4 linked regions of the Drosophila melanogaster genome follow. The protein of the gene in region 2 interacts with the protein of the main gene of each other region in a pairwise test. Each region holds a gene or a part of one and is shown on either strand. Other genes may lie near its edges.

Region 1 (2,910 bases), on a different chromosome or scaffold from region 2:
GCCAGTCGATGGCGAGACAGCTTGTCACTGACATATCCAGGGCTTAAATTTCATCCTTCACGCTTCCCTGCCAGCACACAAGTTCATTATTGTTATTTCCCACTCCTCAGAACCCCCCCCTCCCCCTCCCACAGTGTGGTGCACTTGCTTTAAGTTTTTTAATTATGCTGCCTGGTTAAGTCCCCCGGTTTAATCCGTTTTAAAGGCGGCCATACATGGCGTATGCGTGATGGGATGGGGGAATTGCGAATTACTTGATGTCTGGCTAAAACACACAGAAAATTTATGACATTCTCAAAGAGGGTGTTTTACTTGCTCGTGGTTTATGAGTTTGTTATATCTATCTGTGCAAGTATAAATATAAATCGTAGTACAATTTTTTCGTACGAAGAAAATATGCAACTTCAGTAAAAATAAACCTAGCACGATAATCAAAGTTACAGGCAGTATTAAAAACATAAGATGCAAGTTTAATTTAATATTTCCTTATTGATTTATATTGTTTGCTATTGCTTTATTTATTTGGTGAACCATTTTTCGACTGCATTGCGAAGCACTTGCAATCAACCTAATTGAAACTCCAATTTGAAAATGGGCATATGGAAACACTTGACACTCAACCATTCGTAATTTGGTTCGGAAACCGTTCTCGTTAATTTATAATTACCTACCTAATGAACAACTGATTCGATAAGCTTTTCAAATAGGCACTTAGTTGGTTCAAGCTGGCATAATTTATTAGAGTATTTCCATATATAAGCGTATTTCTAAATACCAATTTAGTTTACTTTAAACCTTCATCAGGATGAGATTTTTCATACTTTCGGTGCTGTTCGGGCTAGCTTTACTCGCTAACTTTACAGAAGCGGCAGCTAAACCAGATTGGATTACAGTGAGGGAATACACAGTCTCACTTGAAATAGATTAAACTAGTTAAGATGTGAAAATAACAACTTTCTTCAAATGTATGTGTGCACGAAAAGAAAGTCAATTTAATTGTTTAAACTCTCAGTTGGTCGTCTACGTATTTGCAAAAACTTTCAAACTGTCACCTGCAGTCGTGCATACAAAGTTGCAGTAGTAATCATACTAAAATGTTTAACTAAAACTGTGTGCCTTGGCTTGGAAATTACACTTAGTGTTACATTGTTTGGTTAGGAATATAAACTATAGTATACAATTCCTTCTTGTTTATATGGTTGAATAAAAAAACTTTGAGAATGCAAGCAAGTTATTAAGATGTAACTTGGATTTTGGTTTTAAAATCTATAATATTATAAATAAACAAAATATACAAGTTATTCTTTGGGGTTTGAAGCTTACAAGTATGTGGGGAACGAAAAATTTCTCAAATAATTTATTTAAGCTTACTTTTTCTACCATCGAAATTGAAACCCGGAATCGGAACTCAGAAGCAAGACTTTTTAATTGCCGTATTGTTTGAGACAATAGAACAGATGGGAAACATCAAGCTACCAAATTTTTGGCAAACCGCTAATGACAACTATTCAGCAAATCTGTTTTTCCGACCGCCGAGAACCCAACTAAGCAAATATGAAACTACGCAAAACGTGGTTAAATAATTTGCACGGATTCCCAGAAACGAATTTTAGTTGAATCAATATTTGAACTGATTAAATGAAAAGTAAATTATACCCGTAAAAGAGGTGCTCTATAAAATGGGGGAGCAATGGCCAATGGAAGTCAGTTGAAAGTGGTTGCTAGTTTGGAAAATATGCGTCTGTTCGTGGCTCTGGTTTGTGTCAGTTTGGTGGCAGTGTCATCTGCCCAGTTGTCACTGCGCGGAAGATTGGGACGCTCATCGAAGGTGGATTTGGCAGTGGAGACACCCACTTTGCTGGCCAAGACAGCCGGACTTGTGCCCACTGTGCTTGTGAAAAATGCCGGCATAGTGCCCACTGTGTTGGTAAAGAATGCAGCCCAAATCTTACCTGCCGTCAATGTTGCCGCCGATGTGGAAACGCCCAGCATCTTGCCCCAAGTGTCCAACAACATCTTGCCCTACTATCCCCGCTACTGGCCCGACTATGGATCCTATGGATCCTATGGCTATCCCGGCGGCTGGAACAGTCCCAGCTACTGGAATAATAACTACTACGACTATGGAGCACCCTATTTGCCCAGACGTCGTTTTGTTAAGCCCGTTGTGTCCCCTGCCGTGATCACTGCACCCACTTCCACTGGCTCCTCGTCCACCAGCAGCACTACTACCACTGTTTCTGGTGAGGATTCGCCATCTGTGACTACCGATGTCGTTCCCGATCAGTCGGACGCTTCCGAAAATCAGGTTGCTGAACCCGTGGTCACGACCCAGGTGATCTAAGGAGAGGTCTAAAAAATAATAATTAAATTTTATATATTGAGCAATTATTTTTTCATTAATAGAGAAAGTTGGGCGATTGTCAAAGGATCTTATTGCTAAATACCTTGATGTTACTATCAGTAATTTTCTCACAAATCTTGGATATCATTTTAGAGGGTACAACACATAAGTAGAAGACATTACCTATTTTTTTAATAAGTTAAAACCACTTTGGTATACCAACAGGAATTTATAGTTTGTATAATTAACACACAATTGTGATAGATTTGAAACTTAATCGATAATATCTATGATTCAGGATTTGTATCAAAGTTAATTATCAATTTATGGCCACTTTAGGCCTCGAACCAGAACGAGTACCCATCGGCTATCTTATCGCGGTTAGTCCTATATACTATATACTAAACGCTATTTGTCGCATTGAGTAGAGTGCAAACACTGAGCTTAGTGGGGCATTAAAGGTGCGAACTATCCGTTGTCGTGGCCAACCAGTTTTGACCAGCAGCAGAGCCAGAAAAAAAGCAACAGGCTAAGAGCCTGCCATATGGCGCAATATTGAAATATCC
Region 2 (5,019 bases):
GAGTAAACAAAAATCGGTTATGGCGTAACTATGTTATCCACCGCTTTTGGTCTCCTCTTTCGCCAGAACATTAGCCAAAAATGTGTGTCATGCGAGTCTATTCGTACTTTGAACTCCCAATCCGTTCTGAAAACTTTCCATGAGCAAGACGAGCGTGGTCTGGGTTTATTAATGATGTTTCGACAAATCTATCAATTGGCATTTGTTTACAGGCGAACCCATATTCACATGCTGACCCATGGCTTCTCCAATTTTAAGCAATTTGCTGTCTCCGACCCGCAATTAGACTTTGTTCCCGCATGGCGCAATAGTCAATTGGCAAAGGTAAACGCTTGAAAGTTATGGCATTCGTTCCGAAATAGATTCCTCATCGAGTGAGCAATGTTGGGAGAGCCTCGCATAACCTTGGTAGCTGATAGCGTACGAATTTGCTTATCGCAGGAAGTATTCGACAAATCGTGATTTCTGAAAAACACCCATGAGCCAACCGAAGTAATTATTTCAATCCAAGCTGCAGCTGGGGATTGCAAGTATCATGTTTCCGCAGCAAATAAAAAAAAAGGCAATCACATTTTGTAGAACAGATTTCTTTAATGATCAGCAGTTTGGCTTTTACAAATACACATAACTTTCACTGCTCCGAGTTATTGTTCAATGGTTGATTGCGACACGACACGAGTATATAATTAGTCTATAGTATATTTGTGTACATATAGTAGAGGTATATAAGTAAACAGAATTCACACTGTGGCGCAATGTAATGCTTTAAGAGCCATGTAGTAACTATTTATAGGCGGTGCTCACTGTAGTGTATTATTGTAATGTTATTATGTTATCTATGTATGCAAATATCGAGTAACTAAGAGGTATGAATATAAATATCCCATTAAAATTAGATGTACTACTAAATCAATAATTTATGTGGGGCATTGTGGCTGCCAATGCTCAACATGGGAAAGTAGTCGGCCAACTCGCTTTTAGGCTCCAAATTGATTATTGTCCCTCTGTAAAAGTTCATTGAGGTAGACTCCTACTTTTGATACGTTCTTGTAAAAAACATTTGACTATTCTTAAGAGGCCTCTTAATGATGCGCTTGTGAACATTTGCAACACGACTAATAACTACTAATTATCGTTGTTTACGTGTATATGGAAGACTCTGTTTTGGTCGCTCTGTATGCCAGTTTCGTTCACACAGGTATACAAAAAGGTCACATAGTTATGCACTTTTAGGTACGACATCCGTAACACGACTAACCAAATAGCCGACGCCTTCTGGAAATTCTTTTATATGTATGTATATATTCTACACTAAATCTAAGCCGGGCGGAACTACTGCTCAGTTAGTTTGGTGAGCGTTTCGTCCTGGGCAGTTTGGTCTTGTTCTTCTTTATGGCGTCGCCAGCGGCGGGACAGCATGGGTGCGAAGAGATCGTAGTCCAGCTGCTTCCGAGACTTGTCCAAATAGATTTCCGCGTTTTCTGCCTTTCCACAGTGAGCCAGCACAATGCTGCTGAAATAGCCGACGACCACGGCAATAAGAAAGCCGATGACGCTCAGCCACAAGTAAGAAATTCGATATAACCAGAAGTAGTCGGGTTCGATGACCACTCCGCTGCTCTTTGAGCTGAGCTCGATGGCACGCGCCATTACCGCGGTGGCATTCTCACAGCCCGCTGTGCTAAACTCCAAGGTAACTGGCTTTGGTTTGGGTCCGCCGAATCCCATCCAGAAGGAAACTATCAGGGAAACGAGGAAGCCAAGCAGCACGCCTCTTTGGTTGCTGCGTGTAGTGCAGACTCCCAGTGTGAAAATGGCCAGCAGCGGACCGCCTACCACACCGAAAATGGTAAGCGATGCCTGAAGAACTCCGCCCATGGAGCCAGCGACAAAAGCTAGACCGATGCAAAGCAGGCCAAAAATGCACGCCACAATCTTGGTGGGCATCGTGGACTTGGAGTCAATTAGCGTCCGTTTAAATATCGCCTTGTACAAGGGCTTCAGGTAATCCTCCAGTGTTACAGCCGACAGCGAGGTAACTGCCGACGAAATCGTGGAAAGACTGGCGGAGAATATTCCGGACACGAACAGACCACACAGTCCAGGATATTGACCTGCCGGAAAAAGAAATCAAATAATGCTAATTCTTATTGGATGTCTTTCCAACTCACCCATAGTCTCCAGTGCGAAAAGGGGCATGATCTGATCCCGCTTGTCGATGCGTCCCTTTAGCAAAGGGTCACAATCTCGATAATAGTAGAATATGGACAGTCCACTGAAAATGGTGCTAAAACTAAGCATTCCTAGGATGGGCAGGTTCCACCAAAGCGCCGACTGAGCGCTCTTCAAATTGCGGACACTCAGGAGTCGCTGTACTTGCGTTTGATTAACGCCATACAAGGAGAGGTAAGTGACCATGCCGCCAATGATCAGAGACCACCAAGTATGCCTCACGGTGGGATCCAATGAAAACTCAATGAAGTTCACGCGTCCTCGCTCCACAGCCACATCCCAGATGGCCGCGAATCCGCCGGCTTTAATGGCCGACACGGCAATCACGGCGTAGATGGCGGCAAACATGAGGAAGGACTGAAACACATCCGTGATGAGCACCGCCTTCAGGCCGCCAAGTGTCGAATAGAAGGTGCACACCAGTCCAATGACCACGATGGCCATTGACCGATGAATGCCGGTTACAGCTTCTAAAGCGAGCGCTGGTGCATAGAGTGCAATGCCCATGTAAAGCACCATTTGCACGGTGAAGGCCAGGGAGGCGGACAGCCGGGTGGCCTGGCCAAAGCGCCGCTCCAGATACTCGTACACACTGGTCGTCCGCATCCTGTAGAAAACAGGAAGGAAGAAGTACGCGGCAATGGGCGTACTCAGCACGTAGGCAATGTTGATCACACAGAAGATGGTACCAAATTCGTAGGACTCGTTGGAGACGCCCATCAGTGAGATGGCGGACATGAAGCTTGCCATCAGGCTGAAGGAGACCGGAAAAGTGGTCATGCTCTGGTCCGCCATCAGATACTCCTGTGTGGTCTTTTGCTTGCCGCCTGTATACCGGTAGTAGATGCCAATCAGAGCCGATATGACCAGGATGGTGATCAGCACGGCCGCATCCCAGGCGTCAAACGTTCCCACGGGCATGTTGTTGTTGACTGGATTCCGCTTGTCAGAGAACTGGAAGTTCGACGTCCGTCACTGGTCCGAATTGATTTTTCCACAAGCGTCACCACCAGCGGCGATTGGACGCTTCTCTTGCCCAGCAATGACCTTTGGCGCAGTCAACGCTTTCTAAAGTGCGCGTCCAAGTGCACGGCGAACGGCGGAAAACAAGACGCGTGCTCGCGAAATCTCCGCTCAAAAAAGAAACGTTCTTGCCGAGGCTACGACCGTTAAATAACTGATCAGCTGAGCGGTGAGTGTGCCCTTGCAGGGTGTGCGGATTAATGCTGTAATGTTTTCCAAGCACATTAAGCTTACATATTGAAAGGCCATTGAATACCCTCAACGAAAGCAACATTGCTGTGCTTTGGTCCCACTACTTTTTCCCGCTCATTGTTTTGGTTAATTTTTTGTTTTGTTTACATGCAGCGAACATGGAATCCATGGAGGTTGATGAGTCTGCTGCCCAGCTGTGAGTGCCTTTGGTATGCCTGCGTAGGAGTTATAATGTTACCCAACCACCCGCCATAGCTACGTTCGCACGCCGGAGGATGTGAAGGCCATTGTGAAGCATGCGAAACTGGACGAGCGCCAGTTGACCCAACTCACCCAGGCTCTGTACTTTCCCTCGGCGGACGTGGATTCGGACAATCTGCGCCTTCTGGAGCTCGATGGGCACATGCTTGGACAAATCCGCGACGGCCAGACGCTATATTTCAAGGGTGGCCAGAACGAGAAGCTGGTGCTGTGCACCGATGAGCGAACGTACGACGTGAAGGGCGCGGAAATATCCAATAGCCTTTTGCTGGTACCGGACCTCAAGTTTGCCGCCGCCACCAGCACCTCGCCGCTGAAGAGTCCGCGCACTGGCAACGCCAACGCCTCCCTGGAGCGCAGCCTCAATGACAGCACGGAGGATGAACTGGAAGTGCCGCGAACTCTGGAGCAGCGGCCGGTGCTCAAGGTGTTCCACGAGTACTTCGAGTGCCGCGAGATAAAGCCGCGCTTTCGCAAGCTGGGTGAACTACTGCAGCTGACTCGATATTCGGGGCCGGAGAACGAGTTCTGCGTGGAGCAGAAGCTACTCTTTACCTTTTCGCAGCTCCTGGACACGGTGCAGTGCAGCCGCGGTCAGTTCATGGAGGGATTGAACCAATATCGAGCCATAGAACTGGACGGGCGAATGCGCGTGATGGAGTACGAATACGAGTATCGCATTATTAACATGATGCTGGGTTTGATAAGCGAAAACTCCTGGGCCTTGGACGAAGTGGAACGGGAGGAGACCATCAATGCACTGAAGGGCATAGCTCCAGAGGATGTTGTGGCTGGGCTGTTTGATATCTATACCATTCCCAGTGAACGTTGCCCGGGCAAGTTTGAGTACCAGGAGTCCTTGGTCTCCCGCATTGTGGCACAGAACATTCTTCAGCCGGGTTTGCGCTTTCGCAACGAGGAGTTCATGCGCACCTGGCAGGAGGTACTGCCCGAGGGCATGTCCTGCGACTTAAAGTACCTACGAGGTCTGGGCATTTGCGACAAGGAGGGAGCGCAGCCTTGCATACGCTCCCTGGCAGAGGAGTTACTGCCCACCAATATAAGCGATCGCATGCGGGCGCTATTTAAGACTAAAAAGAGATGGACGATGGAGGAAATGGAACCGTACATAGAGTAAGTAATGATGAACACATATCTAGATTGTTTTTTTGATTTTCGGTTTTATAACTAGGTGCTTTACCACCCCAAACTTGTCCGTTTCCACACTATTGGCCAAGCACGCTCGCTCATTGACCGATGGAGGTGTGCGATACTTTGTTTCAAAGCATTGATGGAAACATCCAAGGCTAT
Region 3 (3,840 bases), on a different chromosome or scaffold from region 2:
GCCCGAGGCTGTAAATTGGGGCGTGGCGATTGTGAAATATACATAAACATTATATATTACGGAAAGGGGGTGTGTGCAACTCACGGAAATCGGAGGCGTGTCCGTAGGTGGACGCACATCCGAACAGCAGGACGAGGGCGAGAGTTAGCTCCATAATTGCTGGCGGCGAACGTAATCGAGTACTGATCCATTAGCCGCGGGCGTTAACACTTATATAGTCACTTTCGTCAATTGAAATGTATCATGTTTTTGTTGCCGTAAACCGCTTTTGCGTTTCAGCCGCACAGAATTTGACTTTAGACCGTTTGGCAGTTGAGTCAGTTAAATGGATTATAAACCGAAACCGGCAGGCTGGCTGTATGGCAAAGTGGCTGGTTATAGCCGGCGAATTCATTTTACGATTCCCTTTAATGAACTCCCAAGTTCCCAACTCCCAAGCCAGACATCGACCCCGTCCCATTCAATCGCTCCTAATCGCGTTTTGGGTGCAATTTGCTCGATATATGCAAATTGGATCGGCCTTCCCCAAAACGCACATTAATTCCCGTTTCAACGTCTAATTAATGGCTAAGTCAACAAAGATTGTTTATCAAGCTTTTTTTTAATGTAACTGCCTTTTCCAGTTACAGATATTCCCTGCCTTTCGGAATCTCCGCGCGCGAATAACACATACTTTCAGGCGGTCCTTCATCTTTTGGATCAACCTGATCTATAGGGTTCCACTCACTGTAACTTAATTAATAATGGGTCATAGTTTTAAATGTTTTTATGGTATTTTACAGAATTCTTTGTATCACTTATAAATAATTTACAATGTGCTAACTACATATATGTAACTTTTATTGCCACACAACACTTACAGATTATTTAGCTGAGATGGCTTAATAGTAGTTACTTGTGTTCTCACTTTCAAACGCGAAACACGAACTCCATTAAACCTAATGATGATTGCTAGCCTCAAAACTTAGATCTGTCAGTACGCAAACAACATGATCTAGTATCTTTATGTGGACTCTGCCCACTTTGAAGAGCTAACTCACGATTCATCCGCAAAAAACTTGGCATACGGCAGTTTGGAGAACACACCTTTGACGACGCCCAGGTAAAGTTTGCCAAAGGATCGGTCGATTGCTTTGGCCGTCTCCTTGTAAATGGCCTCCGAGTTTTCGTTGAGGAAGACATTCATGTTGTCACCCAGCGCCTTGTCCCCATTGAACAGATTACTGAAATGGTAGTGGCTGGACTCCGGCTTCATCGTTATTTTCAGATCGGTAACGTCCAGGTAGGTCTCCCCATTCTTCACCAGCGGTTTGCCCGAGAAGCTGACGATTGCCCTGACGTTAACTGGACAGGATTTTTAGTTCCTCGAAATCTGAAAAATCAATTGGCATAGCTTACCCATTGTCATGTTACTCTGTCCAGTTCCGCTGATCGGTAGAATGAGTACCTTGCCCTGGATGTTATAGGGTCCAACGAGTGAGAAGGTTTTCGTGACAATTTTCACTTCGTGCTTGGCGGTGAGATCCCTTCCGAAACCCCTGCAAAGATCAAGGCAAGTTGAATCACATCCTTCTCATCCAAACAAAGTGTTGTTCCTGCACCCACTTTACTTTGACGATCCTTTGGTCCTTGATCCCATACAACAGATTGTCGGTGAAGGTTAGAGTTATGCCCACGGGACTGGAGCTCTCACCCTGGCTAATAACCATCCGATCCACCTTCAACGGATCCAGCTGCATCAGGTTCAGACCAGGATCCCCCTCCGCCGAGTTTTCGCTGAACAGGGTGTTGCACAGCTTCATGATACATTCGCCATCACCATACTTACAAGGTTTTGGATCTTCGGCTGTGAGGAACACAAAGGATTATTTTGGAACCGAAAAGTAGAGGTAGGTGTCTATCTAGGTTTCCCAGATTATTACTTCATTGGCAAGGTCTTGTTTTAAAGGACTTTCTCTTACGGAATTTGGCATCCACCGAGACCAAAAGGCACAAAACCACTGCGAATGCGATTGCGAACATGCTAACACGTCTATAACTTTAAGTTACTGAATACGAACGGGATTTTCGCCTAGTATTTATAGTGGTCCACTAAGTGCAACTCAAATAACGTCTAATGGCAACCTTTGATATAGCTCTTATCTGTGCCGTAACCGTCTGTCTGTCAATTCCAGAGCTCGTTTCAGAATCATCAACTAATAACGAATAGCAACTGAATCATCTGATGGTATTAGGTAAGAAAACGTTGTTCTAATTTCAATACAAGCCTTAGTTTATCACCTCATTTGGGTGCACTTTAGACAGCAAGTAGATCATGTAGCAAATCTTCTTATTCACCTTAATCTTCATCAATCAGTTACATCGAAAATCCGCTCAATGAATTTAAGTATCAGACAGATTATGTCCAATTAAAAGTCATGGTATTAAGTTCTCCCTTAACAAAGTTAACTGGCAAGTGTGCAACTCACAAAAGGGCCAGTTCCAAATATAGCCGAATTGAGATGCGAAAACAACGCAGTCATCGTGACCACCAGTTCTTTAGTTGGCTTTAGTTCTTGCGAATCGAAGTGAAGGGCAGTGGAGGAGTAGCGGTGGAGTAGTAGCTCGGAACAGGTCCTAGACTTTGGGTTAACTTAATGACCAAGTGTCCCGCTTTAAAGTCCAGCCCCCGTGGAGAACAAAAGCAACTTGTTTCGCTCGGAATCGCTGCAGTTGATTGCTCGCTCGTGGAAGATTTTCACTGACCCAAGGCCAACTGGGTGTCCGATTCCCTGGGATCGGGATGGCAGCTATACCGTTGGCTACTCTTGAACTTGGACAGTGAAATGAGTTCGCAATGAGTGACAGCACAGTTGTGTTCAGATTAATAGCACTGCCATTTAGTTAGTTCTTGATTCTAAGACAAGCAGATCTTAGTCATATATCATATCATCATATCATATACTAATTTTAGTGCACTTTGGGCTAAATTAGTTGCACAGGATGTAGGAGTAGTAGTAGGAGCATGCATCTTCGTCTTTTTTAAGACACAAAGTATTTGCTCATAATAATTAAGGTGTTTATTTCAATTTGTTGGATGTTTTAATACTTTAAGCGTATGTATAACTACGCTTTTATCCACAAGTATAGTCACCTTAGCAATAATGCCTTTGTCATGCAAATTTCGAATCAATCGTTCCATCACGTGAGCTGCCTGTTGATTGCTGATTGCTGGCCAAAAATGAAACAAAAAGTGTATGCGACACTTGTGCGGAAATAGTGAGATCCACGTTTTAGCTAACAATGGCCCCCCGCAGAAGCAGAACCAGTTTTTTTTCGAATGTTTTTGTTTATTCTACAAGTTAAAGCTTAGCTTAGCAGATACGATGATACGATGATGATGTGTCAATGGCCGGAATGCCGGAATGCAACGCCCCATGTGAGTGAGAATAGCTTGGATAGGTGAGGAAATACTCGTACACTTAGCCTAAAGTCCTAGGGCGCCTGATGGCGACTAGGACGACTAGTGCTCAGTTCTCGAGGAATAAATCCTCGTAGGCGAAGCGCTTGAAGAGCTGCGAGAGAACGCTCTTCATGATCTCGGCGATGGCCACATGAATGGAGGGATGCAGCTCGTTCCACACCTCCGTCCAGTTGTCGTTGAGGAACTGATTCAGATTGGTGCCCAATGCCTGGTCGCCATTAAAGAGGTTCTCCAGCCGAATGTTCATCCTGTGGGAACACAAATATGTTAGTATATCTCAGCTAAAATCCGAACTGCACCTACTTTTGTGGCTCCACCAGAACCTTGAGCTTATCCACGCTCAGGTAGGTGCGTCCATTGCGCTGCTGTGTGCCCGG
Region 4 (3,934 bases), 3.1 Mb from region 2:
CAGACTAGAAAGTGGTGGATTCGGGGACACACAGTCTCCGCCATTCAGCCAGACATTTCCCTAATCAAATTGGTGAGAGAAAAAGATTCGTAGACAGTTGTCGCTGCATTTTCTTGTTAATTTTCCGCAGCGTCTATCGTCTGTCGATGTCCTTCTTCCTGGAGCGCCTTCGATTTCATCCTGCCACTTGTTAGCAGCCACAAGTGGTCAGTGGTCGTCTGATGAGGCCAATCCACTCGGCACCATCTACATTCCGAGCTCCAGCTTCACCATCATCGATTTCGTGTGGGTGCACCGATAAAAATATTACTCAAATCATCGTATAAACAACAATTAGTTGTAGACGCACGTAATTCTATTAATATTTTTAAATCAAGAAAAAAAAAAAAACAATTAGAGAACAGTTTTTTTTTAAGAAATTTCTAATATAAAATTTATTTAACCTCATTCTTGTGTCCTCGGATATATATATATATATATATATATATATATTTAATTATGTATAAAATAAATTTTCCGCTTTCTGAGTGCATCTAAAAACTTTTGAATCTAACGAGAAAAAATTTCCACATCATCAAAGCTCATTCCAGGCCATAAATTTCGTGATAAATGTGGAGCGGCGAGGACTGCGGAGTCCGCCATCGAATCGAATCCTTTGGGAGTGTTCCGCAACTTGCTTGCAACTCCTTATTATCCTCTGCTGCCCCATGCCCCATGCCTTACCGACACTATCTGTCCGATGGCAAGTTGATTCCACCAGTCTCGCCATCTCTTCGGGTTTCATAAATTTCCAACTCAAATGGCCAGAGCAAACTTAAGAGTTTCCCATTCTCCTGTTTCCCGTGTGATTTGCTATGATTGGAAAACAATTTGAAGACTTTTCTTTTTGTTTAACAAATTGAAGGCGGAAATTTTTTATTGCGAGTCCCCGTAGGGATTCGTTAGGAAACAGTTTTTCGTTGGGCTTTGGTAAGTTTAGAAACGGTGACGGTAGACGCGACGACGCACGGTCTTGTAGCGGTATCCATCATTGGAAGCGGGCTCGATCTCCTCCAGAACCTGAGTGTTGGTTGGCTGGTAGACGGGAGCGGGAGCTGGTTGGTAAACTGGGGCAGGGGCCGGGATGCTGATGGGAGCTGGCTGGTAAACGGGAGCCGGGGCTGGGATGCTGATTGGTGCAGGTGGCACATAGGACTTAACGGGAGCTGGGGCTGGGATCACAACTGGAGCGGGAGCAGGAGCAGGGATCACAACTGGTGCTGGAGCAGGGGCTGGGATCACAACGGGAGCGGGAGCAGGCTGGTAAACGGGAGCTGGAGCCGGGATGCTCACGGGAATGGGAGCAGGGGCTGGCTGGTAAACCGGAGCTGGTGCTGGTGCGGGGGGAATGTAGGTGTTCACTGGAGCTGGGGCAGGGATCTCAATTGGAGCCGGAGCTGGGATGCTGATGGGAGCAGGAGCTGGCTGGTAAACTGGGGCTGGGATCCTAATGGGAGCAGGAGCTGGCTGGTAAACTGGGGCTGGGATGCTGATGGGTGCGGGTGGGACGTACGTCTTCACGGGAGCTGGAGCCGGAATCACAACTGGAGCGGGAGCAGGAGCAGGGATCACAACTGGAGCTGGAGCAGGAGCAGGGATCACAACTGGTGCTGGAGCAGGCTGGTAGACCGGAGCGGGGGCGGGCTGGTAGACCGGAGCCGGGGCGGGCTGGTAAACCGGAGCTGGGGCCGGAGGAGAGTAGTCGTAACCCAAATGGGAGACATCACCATAGGCGCAGGCCAGAACGGCAAAGGCAACAACCAGGAATTTCTGAAAAGCCAAGCAAACCAAAGCGTTTAGAAATATAATCCTTGATCCTTCATCCATGTGGGTAAGCTCACCATGATGACAGCTGCAATCTGTTACTCCAAGAGCGATCGAGTAGCTTCTGTCTGAAGAGGCTCAATGGCTAACTATTTATACAAGACCGAGCCCAAAAACTTGAACTGAACCTCAGGCCGAACGCAGATCATCGTCAACATCTCATCTGAATATTCAGCGCAGATGAGATTTTTTACTGGTTTTGTTTTTGGGGGTCGTCAGAATGAAGAAGCGCTCGATGGATCCGGGCTTAATAGGTTTATTGGATCTAAGGAATGAAGATTGAGATGCTGATAGATAGATAGATAGATATATAGATAGATGGATGGATGGTCGGTCTTAAGCCGTGTTAGCTGGCAACACCAAAAGTGACTTTTAGATGACATTTATCTGCATGCAGACAGCTAACGGCATATTTTATGGGATCATCTTTGGTTTTATTGGGCAGCTGGATTAATTTAATTTAGGTAAGTCGTATTTTTGGCACAAGCGTCTGGTGTAGCCGGAAATTTACAATAATCGTTTGAAACGAATGCAGACACAGAAACTGGTTGGGTTTTACGACTAGTTCGCCAAATGTTAGAAGCTATTGTTTTGGATTAGAGGAATCCGAAAGTATTCAGCGGTTTTGACGACGTTCTTGCAGGCCCCTTAATGGAATCTTTTGTCTAGACTCTGAAATGAGGCGCCCACAATCCAAACGGTTATGCAAATACATACTGTATGTTGTCAAAAAAACAAAGATACTTTTTTCTGAGTTCAATACTTTGGTTACCTAACGAACCCTTGGTGGCCAATTAATTACTTCAAACCAGTTGCTCACGATTATGGTCATAAAAATGGGTCTAGCTTACGTCTGAGTCTAAAATTATAAATTCGATCTCAAGGTTCCGCTATTTATGGTTTGGCGTTTCAAACAAATTTTCTCAGGAAAAGATTCAAATAACACATAATTATATGATCCACACCTCGTATAATTGTTTAGACCTCAAAGCGCATAATGCTCAAAATACCACTTCATTTTTAATTATGAATGCTTCATTACTTGGCGGCGGCTTAAATTATTTCCTATTCATCTTGATTCATGTTTCCATAACTCTTCTCCTTATTACCTAAATGGTGATAGTTTAATTTGTATCCCTAGCTAGTGGGCACTAGTTAATAATTTAATTTTCATTAAGGTCAAAAACTTCATGTACTACCATGTTATAATTGCTTTATGATTTGGACACCGGTTGCTGAATTATTCGGGGTGTTGTTTGGACTTCAAGTGCAAACTTGTTAATCACACTATTCATGGCCCGCATCTCGGCAAACATTTAAAAACTTGTTGTTAACTATCTGAGTTTAGTTTGGTCTACCAGGCGACCAAATCATTTTCTGCATTTGTTTATATTTCATGTATGTAAATGCCGATCGTATTAGACATGCTGGCCAGCTAGGTTTTTTGCTTAGCATTTGCATGGCAAATGGCTTCCGTTGTTGTTTTTACTTGGCCCGGTTTATGGTTGTGCATATCAGCAGATGTCGTTATAGGCGAATCTCAATTAAACCATTGTTTATTCACTCAAATATTCATCCACACTTCTGATAGCTGGCCATCATACCTGGTTTCGAAGCCAAGCCAAAATAAATAGTTACGTCAAACTAGACTTCCTAGACTTTGCGTGGTCTATTTTTGGCATGTGCAAACTACAATTTCGGGGATTTTTCAGTTTCGTTTCCCATAATTAAGATAGACTTGTTAAGTAGCCATGTAAAGGTCGTTTTATTAAATTAATTAAATTTACATATCCAAATATCAGCCGGTTTCGTGATACGCCAGTGGCAGTCTTTGTGTTAATAAGATTTACCGGGTTCTGCCAATAAATAACCTTTGCTTGTCGGAAGAGAAAATCTTCTAAATAATGTGATTTTTTCGATTTGAAAATATGAAAAACTACTTGGTAGCATCATCTGTATTCTGTGACGATAATGACAAATGTGAATAAATTTAAATCGATTTGATCCCACAATTCTGTGGGCGAAATAACCGGTTACGAACTTATTTTGATTTTGGGCTCTTTTAAATAGG

What was found.
Region 1: the proteins of CG10444 (region 2) and CG13460 interact in a two-hybrid assay, tested with the Drosophila melanogaster proteins (one large-scale study listed by BioGRID).
Region 3: the proteins of CG10444 (region 2) and to interact in a two-hybrid assay, tested with the Drosophila melanogaster proteins (one large-scale study listed by BioGRID).
Region 4: the proteins of CG10444 (region 2) and CG10953 interact in a two-hybrid assay, tested with the Drosophila melanogaster proteins (one large-scale study listed by BioGRID).

Annotation. Positions count from the first base shown.
Region 1 is NT_037436.4:15,060,502-15,063,411, reverse strand, and holds CG13460 (uncharacterized protein), read left to right. Parts: upstream 1-1,706; 5' UTR 1,707-1,735; coding exon 1,736-2,344; 3' UTR 2,345-2,383; downstream 2,384-2,910.
Region 2 is NT_033778.4:20,271,086-20,276,104, forward strand, and holds CG10444 (uncharacterized protein), read right to left. Parts: upstream 3,415-5,019; 5' UTR 3,154-3,414; coding exon 2,172-3,153; intron 2,115-2,171; coding exon 1,333-2,114; 3' UTR 568-1,332; downstream 1-567. Other genes in the region: CG11788 (uncharacterized protein), read left to right, coding at 3,606-3,643, 3,703-4,842, 4,901-5,000.
Region 3 is NT_033777.3:25,238,372-25,242,211, reverse strand, and holds to (takeout), read right to left. Parts: upstream 2,033-3,840; 5' UTR 2,023-2,032; coding exon 1,962-2,022; intron 1,847-1,961; coding exon 1,606-1,846; intron 1,539-1,605; coding exon 1,399-1,538; intron 1,345-1,398; coding exon 1,037-1,344; 3' UTR 544-1,036; downstream 1-543. Other genes in the region: CG11854 (uncharacterized protein), read right to left, coding at 1-8, 85-154; Jhbp7 (juvenile hormone binding protein 7), read right to left, coding at 3,510-3,711, 3,767-3,840.
Region 4 is NT_033778.4:17,164,573-17,168,506, forward strand, and holds CG10953 (uncharacterized protein), read right to left. Parts: upstream 2,072-3,934; 5' UTR 1,884-2,071; coding exon 1,881-1,883; intron 1,810-1,880; coding exon 976-1,809; 3' UTR 512-975; downstream 1-511.